Rattus norvegicus: one gene and its partner. The protein of the gene in region 2 purifies or fractionates together with the protein of the main gene of each other region. This does not show direct contact. Links are inferred from orthologs where the notes say so. Each region holds a gene or a part of one and is shown on either strand. Other genes may lie near its edges.

Region 1 (7,825 bases), on a different chromosome or scaffold from region 2:
AGTCAGAGGGTAACAAGAAACTCTGAAAGGTTTGGTTTCAGTGTTGTCAGGGTTTTCTGTAGTTTACCATCACCATTGTGTCCACTCTTCAGCCTCTTTATTCTAAATCAGTCCTTGGAAACTTGTTTGTTTTTAAATGATAGATACGTTTGCTAAAACTCATTTTGAAATTTGTATTTAGTTAGGTTTTTTGTTGTTGTTGCTGTGAAATAAGTGCATAATCAAATTTTCCATTGTAAAGTGAACATCTCAGTGGCTTTTAGTGAGTTGAGTGTTGCAAATCAACACTCTTTCCCACTTTCCAGGCTCTCAGCACTGAGAAAGGAGAGCTTCTTTTTAGTAAATCTTCATGTACTCCCTTCTCATAGAACCTCACAGCTGCCAAACCACACCCAACTCCTGTGGATTTCCCTGTTCTGTATTTTTTTTTTTAATTAAAGTATTTATTACTTGTGCACAAGTATGTAGAAGTCAGAACAACTAGTGGGAATCTTTTATCTCCTCAATGTATGTGGGTCTCATGAACCACTCTGGTCATCAGCCTTGGTGGCAAGCTACCTATTAAGCCATATTGCTGACCCCTGTACATTTCATATAAATGTATGGCCTCTGGTTCTTCCTCCTGCAGTGCTGAATGCCTGGCCGCAGAAAAACATTTCTGAGTTTCCCTGAATCATTTCTTTGCTTTGCAGCTAAAATCAAGTATTTCAATAATGGTTCTCTATAATTAGATTTTTAGATCATACATCTCTACTTGGAATACTGCTTAAATAATGTTTGCTCTGTGCTGCCATTTTCTTTCTTTATGTTGCCAGTCTCCACTGAATTGTCCACTTCCCATTCGGGAGTACTTTGGTAAAGAAATGAGCACACTCACCCACAGGTCCTTTCTCCTTGTCCCTGCTTACTAGGCCTTTGTAACCTAAGACATTGTTACTAGGTTGATGACTACTGTAGCCCTTTCTCCTGTTTACCAGTTACAGGTTAGAGTTACTGGGCCTGCATGAATGAGGCCCTGATTACAATCACAGCACTGAAAAAAAGTTCTGTCATATTTATTCGTCAGTATTCTCGGATTTATGGACTCCTGTTGTACTCTGAATTACAGTCCATTACTGTAATTTCTGTTAGCATTCACATTGTTGCCTGGTTGTTGATGAACTTCAAGGTTCATTGTGCAACTTTCCCAGATTAGAGTTGCCCATTTTTCCAGGCAGCCCCTACCCTTTTTAATGAAAGATGCCGTTAGTAACTGAGTTCTGCCCTGAAGATTGCTTCTAGCGTTGTTCTGTGGTCAGATCTTAGAAACTTATCTGTGTTTGTATGTGCTTTCAAAGATGATACATATTTATATGCAGGTGTATGGAAAAGTGTTCAGTATCTAATGAAACACTGGAAGAAAGTTTTGAAGGCAACCAGACCTGTATTAGAGTGTAATACAAAGCTATGATTTAAAGTTAATACAATACTAGTGCTTGAACATCAAAAATAAGCTAAATATGCGAGTGTGTGTCTGTAATTCTAGCATGTGAGAAGTAGAGGAGGATAAAGAAATTTGAAGCTCAAGCAAAGAAGAAAACCAGGTGCTATACTAGGAGTCTTCTAAAAAGCTCCTAAAATTTCTTTTTTCTTTTCATTGTTGAATTCTAATGGGAATATTTGACTGTGATATTCCCTAGATTTTTTTTTTTAAAGAGTTGACATGATTGCAAATAACTGTCAGACTCGTTTTCTGTAATTGCGCTGAAATTAACCTGGCTGTTTTAATTAGGTTTGCAATGAGAATTCCCTCTTCAAAAGTCTTTCTCGCTACCTGGTCCGTCGAAAGGATCCAGAGTTGTGGGGTAGTGTGCTACTGGAAAGCAATCCATACAGAAGACCATTAATTGACCAGGTAAATGTGACAAAAATGTTTCACTTCTTTCTGACCTGGAATACTTTCCTCTCATTACATATCCAAATATATTCAAATGGGTCATATTTAACTATAACAGAAGACACAAAAAGTAAAAAAAACATTAAAATTGTACTATATAAATGTAAAATTGTTTGTGTGTGTGTGTGTGTGTGTGTGTGTGTGTGTGTGTGTGTGTGTAAAATATTATAAGGAAAGTGAAATCTAAAACCATAAATTTATATTAAGTTCATCACCATTAAAGAAAGGGAATAAATTAGGATTGACTCCAAATCGTTAGCTGATACATGACTGAAATTAAGACATTGAAAGCAGTAAGTCAGCACACAAAGAGGATTGATAATTCAAAAACCAAAAATCCAAGTAATGTTTGGGTCTAACAGCTTAAAGTCCCTAGTACTTAGGAGTTTGAGAGAGAAAGAAAGAGTATGAGTTTGAGTTAATTAACATCATCCTGTGAGTGTAGCAAGATTCTATCTCCAATTCTTTTCTAAATTCCAAGTATCATGAAGATTATTGGTAAGTGTGACCCAGTTTCTGGTTACTAGCATCGCCTACAAGCAGGGCTGGGTAGGCAGACAGGAAGACCTCTGGAGCATGCTGGTGACTGGCAAGACACAGCACCTGTACACCTTCATGCACACACTGTACCCAAACCAGTATAAGAATTCTAACTAAGTAACACAGCACTGCAGTGGAGATTTTTATACCTATATGAAATTGAAATCTTGAATTTAAAGCGCTAATTATTGCTTGTTATAATAATGATTCTTAAATTCTTCTGACACACAAAAAGAGAGTGACACACACTCTCTAGAAAGCATTTCCAAGGCGCATTCCCATGTAGATAAAGCTTCCTGCACTCATGGCATCTGGGCATATGGAAGTAGACAAACGAGGGTTGTTCATTTCCTAATCTGTGTCTAGGGATTTGAAGATGAGGACCCATTACAGTAATAGTGATAAGTTATCATGGATAGTGTTCTATCAGGGAAAGTGCAAGTGACATAACTGCTGATGGGAACATAATTATAAACAATGTGTGTCCATGTATATTGTGTACAAAGGTCTTCGAGTAGAAAGGGCATTTTTCCTTCTATTTGAGATTTTCTATTGAGATGTTAACTAACTTATTGTTACCAGCCAATGTCTTTTTAAAAACACCTTGATTTTTTATTTTTTTATTTTTTTAACTCTTCCATGTATGTCCTTTGTAGGTCGTACAGACAGCCTTGTCTGAAACTCAGGACCCAGAAGAAGTGTCAGTAACTGTCAAGGCTTTTATGACAGCAGATCTTCCTAATGAACTCATTGAGCTGCTGGAGAAAATTGTCCTTGATAACTCTGTATTCAGTGAACACAGGTAAGCTGGCAGGGGATTGCATTGGCTTTCTCAGTCTTTCACTGTGGCCTGTCAGTTTGGGGAAGGAACAGAAACAAAGTGAATAGGCAGCTTTCTTTTTTTTTTTTTTTTTTTTTTTTTTTGGTTCTTTTTTTCGGAGCTGGGGATCGAACCCAGGGCCTTGCGCTTCCTAGGTAAGCGCTCTACCACTGAGCTAAATCCCCAGCCCCAAAAGTAATCACCTTTTTTAAACTTTTTTTTTTTTTCGGAGCTGGGGACCGAACCCAGGGCCTTGCGCTTCCTAGGCAAGTGCTCTACCACTGAGCTAAATCCCCAACTAGGCAGCTTTCTTGATTGTTACTCTCCTAATACTGTCTCTTCTTACCTTGACCTTGACACAAGTAACCGTCTAGTGCCACAGTGTTTCCTCATCATTGATGACCTTTTTAAACATTGTGTTGAATGTTTGTTTCTTAAGGAATCTGCAAAACCTCCTCATCCTCACTGCAATTAAGGCTGACCGAACCCGAGTTATGGAGTATATTAACCGCCTGGACAATTATGATGCGCCAGATATTGCCAACATTGCCATCAGCAATGAGCTCTTCGAAGAAGCATTTGCTATTTTCCGGAAGTTTGATGTCAATACTTCAGCAGTGCAGGTAAATCATGAAGTTACATAAATTGAGATACTGACTCTAATGTCTTGATGTTAAGAATATATTGTCTTGTGAGCGTGTGCACAGATTGCTTTCACAGAATAATCATAAAATGCTGTCTGTTTAAATGTAATTCTGTTGGGTAAGATCCATTTTACTGTAACACCAATTCAAAAATGTTGCCCAGGTGTTAATTGAACATATTGGAAACCTGGATCGTGCATATGAGTTTGCTGAACGCTGCAATGAGCCTGCTGTTTGGAGTCAACTCGCAAAAGCTCAGTTGCAGAAAGGGATGGTGAAGGAAGCCATTGATTCTTACATCAAAGCAGATGATCCTTCGTCTTACATGGAAGTTGTTCAGGCCGCCAATACTAGTGGTAAGGCTTCTTGTCTATGTCTTTAAGACCTCCAAACAATTACTAAGCCAAACATTCAGTACATTCTATACTTTTGCTAGTATAGAGGTTAGCACTCCCTGGTTACTTGTGAAAACGTTCAGCTCAGCATCTCAGACTGACTGAATTATATGAATTTAGAAAATCCAGGGGGCTGGAGAGATGGCTCAGCGGTTAAGAGCACCGACTGCTCTTCCAGAGGTCCTGAGTTCAATTCCCAGCAACCACATGGTGGCTCACAACCATCTATAAAGAGATCCGATGCCCTCTTCTGGTGTGTCTGAAGACAGCTACAGTGTACTTATATATAATAAATGAATAAATTAAAAAAAAAAAAGAAAATCCATGGAGAAAATTAATTTTGTTTTGAGGTCTGATAAAATCCTGATAGAGCTCTAGTATATAACTTTAAAGTGGGGAGAAGTATCAAGCAATTTTAGGGCAGTAATAATACAGACGTGTAGTGGAATTTTTAGACTTTAGATATATCCAGTTTTACATTTGTCATTCTACATAATATTTCTTTGAAAAAAGAGTTAAGCTGGTGTGGTGATGTACTCCTGCCACTGAGGCAGGAGGCCTTAAATTCACGGACTGCCTAGGCTATATACATAGCATGACACTCTCAAAAAACAAATTAGCAGGGGGACATCTAACATATTTGGTTGGAAATATAAGAGTGCTAGTTTATGGGCTTATTTTTCTCTTTATTTAGGAAACTGGGAAGAATTGGTGAAGTATTTGCAGATGGCACGCAAGAAGGCCCGAGAGTCCTACGTGGAGACAGAATTGATATTTGCACTGGCTAAAACAAACCGTCTTGCAGAATTAGAAGAGTTCATCAATGGGCCAAATAATGCTCATATTCAGCAAGTGAGTTTCCTGTTTAAATTCCCTCCCCTCTCGTGTGTGTGTGTGTGTGTGTGTGTGTGTGTGTGTGTGTGTGTGTGTGTGTGCGTGTGTGCGCGCGCGCGCGTGTTTAGTGGGATGCTCGCATAAAAGTGCATATGAAGGCCAAGGGCAGGCTTTATTTTTATTCCTTAGAAACCATCCACTTAGAAAAAAACAACAGGGTCTCTTGTTGGCATGGGTCTAAGTAATTTGAGCTAGCTGGCCAGCAAGCACAAAAGACTGACCTACCACTCTGCTGGGATTCCAAGCACACACCACACCTGACTTTTTATGTGGGTCATGGATATTAACTCACATCCTATTGTTTACACGGCAAGTACTTTCCAACTGAGTTATCTTCCTACCTCCACATTTTAACACATGAAAATTCAATGAGCAGCTTACCACCCTGGCAGAATCAATGTGTTAGGACTATGAAATTAAACTGTTCTTAGGAGTGTGTATATGTTCATTCATTTTATTTGTAATTTTTGAGATGGAATTCCTCAGTGGCATGAAGGATGTGTCTTTAAACTTGGTAAACTGCATCAACTTCTGGGTGCTGGATTACAGCATATGCATATCTTTTCCTTTGGTGTAAGATACAAATTTTGAAAAAGGATTGAGCTGACACCTGTATTTTACTGATCGTGGATTGCTTTTCCCCCCTAGGTTGGTGACCGTTGTTATGATGAGAAAATGTATGATGCTGCTAAGTTGTTGTACAATAATGTTTCTAACTTTGGACGTTTGGCGTCTACCCTGGTTCACCTTGGCGAGTATCAGGCAGCAGTTGATGGTGCTAGAAAAGCTAATAGTACTCGAACATGGAAAGAGGTATTCTAAACCCAGGTTCCAATCAGGAGTTAACGTTTTGTTTGAAAACTTTTTTCTACTGTTGAGTTGAAATAATTGCATTTATTTATATTTGAGTTCTCATAGTGGAAAATGTTTTTTCTAGGTCTGCTTTGCCTGTGTAGATGGGAAAGAGTTTCGCCTTGCTCAGATGTGTGGACTCCATATTGTTGTGCATGCAGATGAATTAGAGGAGCTTATCAACTACTATCAGGTAATGACACCAGACCTTTACATGAATTGAAACCTTTGTACGCATATTCTCTCTAATTGCATTTTTTCTTCGTATAGGATCGTGGATATTTTGAAGAACTCATCACCATGTTGGAGGCAGCCTTGGGACTAGAGCGAGCTCACATGGGAATGTTCACAGAGCTAGCAATTTTGTATTCTAAATTCAAGCCACAGAAAATGAGGGAACACCTAGAGTTGTTTTGGTCAAGAGTGAATATTCCTAAGGTAACCAGTCTTCACCACTGTGAGGCGACTCTAATAATTTAAAATACATTTTCCTTGTTAGGCTGATAGCAAGAGTAAGATTTACATCTAAAGCAACTGGTTTTGTCCTCAGGTGCTGAGAGCCGCAGAGCAAGCCCATCTTTGGGCAGAGCTGGTGTTTCTGTATGACAAGTATGAAGAGTATGATAATGCCATCATCACTATGATGAATCACCCCACCGACGCATGGAAGGAAGGGCAGTTCAAAGACATCATCACCAAGGTGGCTAATGTGGAACTGTACTACAAAGCAATCCAGTTCTACTTAGAATTCAAGCCCTTGTTGTTAAATGACTTGCTCATGGTGCTGTCTCCACGGTTGGATCATACTCGTGCAGTCAATTATTTCAGCAAGGTAACTTCTTGCCCTGAACTCTACAGTGAGGATTTTGACAGATTGGATAACAGTTCTCAGCTGTGGATATCTTTCTAACAAACTTTATTTTAAAGGTTAAACAGCTACCACTGGTGAAACCATATTTACGCTCAGTTCAGAACCACAACAACAAGTCCGTGAACGAATCCCTGAACAACCTCTTTATCACAGAGGAGGATTACCAGGTAAAGCCTTGGGTTCTGTAAACACTCAGCATCACACTCTGACAGGGTTAACTGACGGGGCTCTGTGGTAACAACCCCAGTTAGCCTTACATTTCTAAGTAGCAGGCACATCGATGCTTACGCCCTAAATTCAGCAAGGTTTTCGTGATGGGTAAGTGTTCGGTTTTATAATAAGTTCTACTCTTTGGGTTAGACACATTTTATATATGCTTTGATAAAACAGTTTAACATGTGGGTCCTTGCTCTCTTACATCCTTATTCCACATCCCAGAGACACTGATCTTTCAGTCTATAAACTTAACTGCTGTAAAGTGGACCTAACAATTTGTCACTTTTCTTTTTTTTTTTTTTTTTTTTTTTTTTATAACTGTAGCCATTTTGGTTTTTTTTTTTTTTTGTTTTTTTTTTTAGATTTATTTATTTATTATATATATATAAGTACACTGTAGCTGTCTTCAGATACACCAGAAGAGGGCATCGGATCTCTTTACAGATGGTTGTGAGCCACCATGTGGTTGCTGGGAATTGAACTCATGACCTCTGAAAGAGCAGTCGGGTGCTCTTAACTGCTGAGCCATCTCTCCAGCCCAATTTGTCACTTTTCTTACCTAATGTCTTATTATTTGTCATGTAAGTTTGCTTTTGTGAAAGATAACACATAAATAGAAACTGTCTAGGTTAATCTAATTGCATTTTTCCTTCACTT
Region 2 (8,273 bases):
TCTCACTATGCAGACCAGGCTAGCCTGGATCAGCCTGCCTCTGTCTCTGTCTCCTGAGTACTGGGATTAGAGACGTGCAGTACCACACCCGAGAAGAATGATGTTTAATGACATATGGCGATGACACGAACTCAAATACACGGCCCATACAGTTTTATTGGAGCATGGTCACACCCATTCTTTTACCTATTGTCTTTGGCTGCTCTGCAGAAATGATCCTGTTGAGTATTTCAACAGAGACCAGATGGCCTCTAAAGCCTTGAGGATTTACTGTGAAGTCCTTTGCAGAGTAAGCCTGGTCTAGTCCACCCCGATAGTCATGTGAGAGTCCTCTGAAGTCCTAGCCTTTGACCTCTACCTAGCCAGTCTCTGACAGGTCCAGGGTTGGCTGCCTAACCTGGCACTGACTTCTTGGAATAGTACACTGCCCCTCTGTGCTGTGCAGCACTAACCCTTCCCCATTCTCATTACCTTGCAGCTGCTGTTCACCAGCCCTTTGGGAAGGAAAAGTGGGGGTACGTCCGTGTTCCATTATAGATGAGCAGGGGAGACAGGGCTGCAATAGTTGGGGCAGACAAGGGATACTACCTGGTATAGGCCACTGGACGCTGGGGGCCACAGGCTGCGGCCGCCCTTGTGGGGCTCTTCTAGAGTGACTCGGAGGTGGGTGAAAACTCACCATTATGCTATAATCTTTGGTAGATTAATAACACAGATTAATCCTGCGGGGTCCTGCTGATATAAATTCAAGCTAGGACCAGAGTAGACTGGTGTGTTCAGAGGCAAGGGAGAACGTTGTGACCCTGAGTAGTTAGGCTACTCTCCCACCAGTTAAGGCTCAAACCCCAGACCAACAGACACGCCCGAGGTGCTTATTTAACATATCGAAGCGAACCTGGCCTCCAGGTTCTCCCAGTATCCCTCAGTCCCTGCGGGTTGCAAGGTCCTCCTGTCCTGCACATTCCAACCCCTGCCCTAAATTTCTCCAGCCCAGGTATTAGCCTAGACTTCCCTCCCCACAGCTGCCCTTCCCTACACAATCTAATAATTTTGGTTCTCTGGTCTTTTTTCATGTACCTTTTACCTTGCAGGCCTCTTGGTGTGGCTCTGCTCCCTCCCTGCTGGGCACCCATGTTCACTCTGAATTCTCCCAGAGGTCTTTGCTTCTGGCTATGCTTTCCCTTTTATCTACAATAAACTTTCTCCTTCACCATACTCAAGACCAAGCCATGTCCTTCCTTTTTTCTTTTTTTCCTGGTCACCTCCTTCTAGGTGCTGAGGCATCAGGAAAGAAAAGGAGAGCTCCTGCTCTCAACTCATGCCAGGCTGGGGACAGCCTTTCAGGGACAGTGATACATCAGTGTGATGGAGGTGGAACAAGAACACGAGGTGGCGGGAGCTGTTTCCCATACCCTCTCACTGCACAGGCACTCTGAAAGACTGGCTTCCTTATAACCTCTCTCAGGCAAGAGCGTTCAAGTTTACAAACTAAAGTTCCCACGAAAGCTACACCTGGGTTAAAGATGTTAGAAGGTTGACTACAACTTTGTGATGGCGGAGAGTTGGAATGCTGCAGATCTTGAGACAAATTACCTTGCTTTAGACCCTTAGTAACCACTTATTGCTTATCTTGTGTCTGACCTAACATTTCTGTGACTACCAGGTAACGCCTTTTGGAATAAGTTAATAGAAAACTAGTGTCTACCAACCCAAACTTAGTAATGTCATCAGCTAGCACCTGAGACATGGAGCCTAGATTTTCATGCTTTGCTGTAGCCTGAGTGTCTGGTTTATGGCTTGCTTTTGTTCTCTGCAACTACAAAAAATATCATGAAACCATTTCCACATTGGACCACGTTATTTGGGGTGATGCGAATCTGTATTCTTGGGTCATGGCAATTCATATTTGGTCCGGGGATAGAATGAAGTATCTCTGATTTCCCTTGAGGTGAGAGCTGTTTTGTGCCTACAGGACGCAGACTGAGGACAGAACACAAGAGCAGAGATTGGGTCAGGAGATGGGACACGGCCTCAGGGAGGAGGTGGTGCCCAGTGCTTCCGGGCATGAGCCCAGCTCCTCACAGCAGCAGAAATTTCCAGTGAGACCAGCCAAGTGTCAAGGTGTATGTGAATTGTGAGGCCAGTGACACTGGGCCCTGATTAGCACCACTGAACGACTGCTATCCCCTAGGATGTTAATCCTATAACACTCCACTCTTAGGGCAGGAGGTCAGCAGACCTGAGAAGATACCACTTTACTCCTGCAGCAAAGAGGGGCCTGGGCTATAAAGAATACAAGCAGCTAAAACCTGGCCACCAATCATCACAGCCAGTCAGGTCTTCGCCACTTGGAAGCTGATGGGGGAGGACTGCTTAAGGCCTGAAGCTCCTGACCAACCTGGTCAACACTGAGAGACCCTGTCTCAAAAAAACCAACGCAGGCTCAACCTCCAGTGCTTCTATCTTGACACACGGAAGAGTATGGAACACTGCTGTTGTTCTTCAAGGTAGGGTCTCTCTCTGTAGCCCAGGCTGGACTTGAACTCAAAATCTTCCTGTTTCAGCCTCCTAAGTGCTGTTCCACCACCCCTGGCTCTTTTACAGCTTTGCCATCTCATCGCACTGCACTGGATTTTGGGGGTTCCTCAGTCTTCACCCCCTTCCTTCTGTAGAACTTGATCTCTTCCTCTCAGTAAAGGGAAGGGCCACGGGACAGAATGGACTGGTGTTTTGTTTGAAACAGGGTCTTACACTGCAGCTTATGCTGCCCTGCAATGAATTTCAGAGTCCAGTTAGCCTGGGACTTTGTGGCAATCCTCCTGTCTTAGTCTCCTGGGTGTAGGATTACAGATGTGAGCCACCGCTTCTGGTGGGAGGTTTCGAAACGTGTGCTCTCCCAGCCAACTGCAAAGAACATGACTGGGAACCCTACACCTGCCCATCTGAGTCTTGGATCGGTCCAACCTATTCTGACATGAACCCCAAGGCAGAGAGGGTCCAGCAGTGAGATTTAATCAGCGCTCCAAGGTACTGATGTAGCAGCACTCTTATCCAGGAGTATTTTTTGCCCGAGGCAGGCAAACTTTCAGGGCAGGAAGAGATGCTGAGCTTTGAACTGAACGGCATCTTAAACCCAAATGAGCTTATCCAGGTCTCTGGACTTTCAGGCTGGCTTTGAAGGCCAGACTAATTTGCCTTTGTCTTTACATAAGACATCTGAGAAGAGGGCTGCCTTCTCTTTCCGGGTCTCAAACAACGATTTATGGTGGGGTTTTTGTGAAGCACCTGGGCTCCAGGCGCCAGAGTTCCCTGCAGAGAACTGATGAGAACCTCAAAAGAGCCACTAACAGCTGCAGTGGTGGTTACAACACAGCTGGACTAACGACTTCGGGGAAGCCTTGGCTTTCAGATCCAGCCTTCCCAGGCTGGACCAACGGCGAAAAAAAAACATCAAAAATAATTTCACAATGCGGTCAGATAAAGGGGATGTGTGTCACGCCCAGACCACCCATTCCTGGGTAAATGTCGCCAGCTGGCCTTCGCCCGAGAGTAGATGCTGGGCGCCGGCATCTTCCCATGGGCTCCAGCTTCAGTAGGCGGTACCTCGTTGACAATGACAGGCGTTAGCCATGTGCCAGGAAACATCCTCAATGCCTCGCGCTTATTAATGCATTTAATGATCAAAGAAGTCCAGCAAGGCCATGCCATGATCCTTAAACTATGGGCGAGGACCATCAAGGAGGCGACGTCACATAAACCCGAGTCTCCCGACCATGGGGACAGAGGCGCGGCCGAACCTAGATACCCCGGCGTCTCGGAATGTGAGCGGCGGGTGACGCGGCGAATGACCCAGGCGCCGCCAGCCCGGGAGAGGCTCTAAGCCTGCGCGCGCCCAGCGGTGGCGCGGCCCAACGCCTTCTCACCACAGCAGTCCCTTTAACCCAAACTTTCTCCCTCTACTCTGGACCCCAGCACGCACACATTGGCTGAGCCACATCCGCCCAGAACTGTCTCCTTCTCCTGCCTATTGGTTACATCAAGCATCAATCCCCATATAAGAATTCCGATTGGCCTGTGCTCTTGTCAATCAGGTGGGAGTCATAGGGTAGGCGGAGCCCAGAGCGCCGCGCCAGCCTCGCAGCCTAGCCTCCCTCCTCCCAGCCCTGACTGTGGACTCCGACAGGTCCCAGGGTCGAGGCCAGAGCGGCACACAGGGGCGGGACTGCACGCGGCTCCCGGGACTCACCGATCCGCTGTCCCACGGGAGAACTGAACGGGTTTCCCAGGAGAAAGTCCATTGCCGCGGCTACCACTGCCACCAGCTCCCAGAATCAGGTGACAGCAACCGCCGGCGCCGCCGACCCGTCACGTGACCCGCTGGCCGGCCCGCGGGGAGGTGCCGGCAGGCGGGGGCTCTGGGGCGCAGCCACGAGCCCCGCCCCCTACCGGGCTGCCCCTCGGCAGTGGCTGACGCCACACCAGGGCGGGGCCTGGGAGAGCTGGCTCCTAAGCCACGCCCCCGAAACTTCTATGTGCGCCGCAGTGGAGCCTAGAAGTCTTCACATCCGGAAACTGGGTCTCTGGCCAAGGAAAGACCTGGGTCAGGTTACGCAAGATAACGAAAATATTAGCATCTTAGCCTTTAGTCTTGGGGACCAAGCCCTAAGGACGATAGCCTCCTGTCCAAGTCGGACTCGAAATTTCTATTTGATGTCTCCCTGCTCCAGGAGCCACTCGTTTGTGGCCAAAGAGGAGGCAAGGACCTGGGTTTGTGCTCCTTTGAGACAGAGAATGAACTGAACATACTGTGGCAAGTTCCTTTACCTGGTAAGCCACCTCATCCACCTTGGCTCTTGGGAAACCAGAAAAGTGCTTTTTCTTTACCTGTTCCCCTCATCTGTAAAGGTGGTGGTGGGACGACCAATATCCATAATGTAATGCTTTCAGAGTATTGAGATGACATGAAAATCACTCAACAGGCATTCCGCGATGGTTGCTTCTTCCTTGCTGTATCTTTGTATTATGTTTTTAATTTTTTTTAGATTTATTTATTTATGTATGAGTACGCACTGTTGCTGTCTTCAGACACACCAGAAGAGGGCACTGGCCCATCACAGATGGTTGTGAGCCACCAGGTGGTTGCTGGAAATTGAACTCAGGACCTCTGGAAGAGCAGTCATTGCTCTTATCCTCTGAGCCACCTCTCCAGTGCCAGGCATTATGTTTTAAATTTGTAATTTTTAAAAATCCTGTATGTGTCAGATCGAAACTTACGAGGAATTGATTCTTTCACATTTAATCTCTTGAGATTAAACAAGTACCGTGGGACATCTCACTTCCTCTCTTCCATTCTTGGCAGGGCTGGGGCTCATCCTAGGACCTTGTCACATTAAAAGCCAATGCTCTGCATCCCGTTTTTTTGGACACAGTCTCCCAAGGCTGGTTTCAAACTCAGATCTCAGGGGTGTTGGAATTAAAGGTGTATGTACATTACAACATGCAGCCTTTAATTATTATTCGTGTTTTGCTACTTATGATTTTTAACATCTTGTATTTCCATTAACTTTTTCCTTAGCCATGAAAGGCCAAATTTCCATATTTCAGTGTTTATAGTATTAGCACACATTCACGTCAGGCCACATGGCTGTAGACTCAGAGACAAGGAGGTGACATCACATCCCCATTTTTTTTTAAATAGACAAGACTCTGGAAAGATCCTGGGATATGAACTACTTTTTAGCATAGGATTTTCATGCAACCCTGACAAAGATTGATGGATACTTCTTGATGTAGGCCAATAACATATTGTATATGGTTTCATCTGCCAAGCACTAGAGCCACACTTATCCGATTCTCTCCTTTTATAATATAAGAAAGTGATATTTGAGAGCCTTTACATATAAGGTGTGTTCAACCTGAGACACAGGGCTGCATGGCTCAGGATCGATAGGAATGTGGTAACTTGGCCTTTATTTCAGGTTTTGGTTTAAAAACTTTAAAATTTTAATTATGTTTGGTGTGTACCTCTGTGTGGGTGTATGCACTTGTGTGCCTGTGCCTAAGGAGGCCACAGAGGGTGACTGATCCTCTGGGACTGGACTTACATTCGGTTGAATGAATGCTGGGATCTAACTTGGGTCCTTTCCAAGAGCAGGAAATAGTCATAACCAATGAACCATCTCTTCAACCCCCCCACCCCCCGCCCTTTTAGAGAAATGCTAGGGTAGAGTAGAGTGAATGACAGGTTTTACAATTTTATAGCAACTATGACTAGCCCAATTAGGGAAAAGACAGCTAAGACTGGACTATAAATATTAAAAATGAGATCTTTAATATAAGTACAAAATTTTGTTTCTTTATACAACTGTAATAGGATTTGGATCAAACCACTAGGATTTATTTAAAAAACAAAATAAAACAATGATATAAAAACAGCAAGAAGGCCTGAATCCAAAGTTTTTCCTCTAATAGTACCAAATACCACAAGGTACAGATTATTATACAAATGTGTACAAATCTTTAATACAAATACAACAGGGCTAGGCTTCAGAGGAAAACAAACACGAAAAAGCCCGTTCTCCTCAGGAGTTCACAACTGTCTGTAGCAAGGGCAATGGAGGACTGGCTGCTTCCTAAACGATACATGCCTTCCTTGGCCTCTCCTGGGTGCCGTTCCTCACAGCAAACTTCTGCAGGTTCAAAGGAGGTTCTGACATGTTAACTCAAATTTAAATTTCTGCTTTGCTTGATTTCAGTTCCCACATATTCCTGTTCCTGTCTCCATTTCTCAGATTACATCTCAGCACTGCTCTGAGCTGAGATGGGGACAGAGCCTCCAGAACTCCTGTGAGAAGCTCGGCCATGACAGCAGTCGGGCTATGGGAAGGTGTTACCTAGGATGCCAGCTGGCTACATGGTCCCCAGAGGTTTACAGTGATGCTGCCATGTTCTTCCAGGCCAGAGGAAGAAAGCTTGGCTAACTCACCACATTTCCAAACAACCCTGGAGTGTTGAGATATCTTCTCTCTGATGGGAAGCAGGCCTGGTTCTTTGGGAATAAGGGCAGTTAGAATGGTGCCATTCCTTTCTATTTCACTTTCCTAACATTATTGAGGGCCATGAAGTTCCTTTCTGAGTCACAACACCTAAACATATGGACGACTTGAGGCTTTTAGACAGACATTAAGAAATGACAAATCTGTATGCTCCACATGTTCCTGCTGCTGGAGGCTTGTTTTTAAATTATATGTACAGAAATTTACAGGATAAATTAAAATCTAAGAAATTCTAAAGAGTTAAATACACATAATTAAAATATACACTCAAACACACATATAGATAACCCTACTGAGAACCAAGGACTTCTCTGTGGTCCAGCTCCGTGTGGAATGCAGAGCACAAAGTACCCACCAGGGGAACCAGAGCTGAACCAAGAGCCACCAGGCAGCTAAGCTGCAGAATCTCTCGGGAGTTGGTGGGCACCCAATGCCGCCAGTGAAAGACGGCAGCTTTGTGTTTTGTACACCAAGCCTTGCTGGCCAGACAAGCAGGTTCAACAGGTGGCACCAACAGCTTTGGTTTCTCCAAGGTATTTATTTTTCTGTGGCCAAGAATCACACACTGAGGCTATAGATGGTGCCCACGACTCTGTGGTACTGTGGGTACAATAAAACTGGAGACACAGATACCTCTTTAGCAGGAACGGGAATGAGTCCCCTACTCAGTCCACCTAAGCTCCACCTCCCCCAGATTATCCCATGTTGGAAAGTCTGTAGTCAGCTGGCCTCCTCCCATGATCTTCACTACACTTCTGATTCTAAGACAGGTAAGGCAAATGGTCAGCGATGGGTCTGCAGGCAAACCCAAGCTTGGAAAAAAAATCACATTTTAGCATTTTACAAGGAGATACATATGGCACCCAGAATAAGCCCCTAGTCCCCAAATTACACTGATTTTTTTAAGGCAGATTTTTTTTCACAAAAAAATAATTCCAAGCCCACATTCATGCCAAAGTTTCCTTTTAGCTAAACCTTTGCCATTTCATAAAATTATTAAAAGCAAAGTAGTTATAATCCTATGTATATACTATACATTATATATGTATATATAGATATAAAAATTTAAAACCTACACCCAGAGGTCAGTGGAAGATCTGGAACAGTCATATATACATAAACGAAGGGGTAGACAGTCTTCTGTCCCAGGCTTCTTGGAGGTCACAGTCCGGGCATGATGTATGCAATGTTGTCCAGCGTGTTTGACTGCAAACAAGG

Evidence for each region.
Region 1: the proteins of Tom1 (region 2) and Cltc purify together in Homo sapiens (affinity purification with western blotting, with the first as the bait; 3 studies listed by BioGRID). This does not show direct contact. The link is inferred for Rattus norvegicus from reciprocal best matches to the Homo sapiens genes TOM1 and CLTC.

The regions. Positions count from the first base shown.
Region 1 is NC_086028.1:72,023,670-72,031,494, reverse strand, and holds part of Cltc (clathrin heavy chain 1), read left to right. Parts: intron 1-1,771; coding exon 1,772-1,894; intron 1,895-3,132; coding exon 3,133-3,278; intron 3,279-3,735; coding exon 3,736-3,919; intron 3,920-4,103; coding exon 4,104-4,296; intron 4,297-5,029; coding exon 5,030-5,187; intron 5,188-5,877; coding exon 5,878-6,042; intron 6,043-6,166; coding exon 6,167-6,274; intron 6,275-6,351; coding exon 6,352-6,519; intron 6,520-6,631; coding exon 6,632-6,913; intron 6,914-7,008; coding exon 7,009-7,119; intron 7,120-7,825. UniProt on the Homo sapiens protein: Clathrin is the major protein of the polyhedral coat of coated pits and vesicles. Two different adapter protein complexes link the clathrin lattice either to the plasma membrane or to the trans-Golgi network.
Region 2 is NC_086037.1:13,407,340-13,415,612, reverse strand, and holds the start of Tom1 (target of Myb1 membrane trafficking protein), read right to left. Parts: upstream 4,370-8,273; 5' UTR 4,299-4,369; coding exon 4,247-4,298; exon of another isoform or gene 1,038-4,246; intron 1-1,037. Other genes in the region: Hmgxb4 (HMG domain-containing protein 4), read right to left, coding at 8,217-8,261.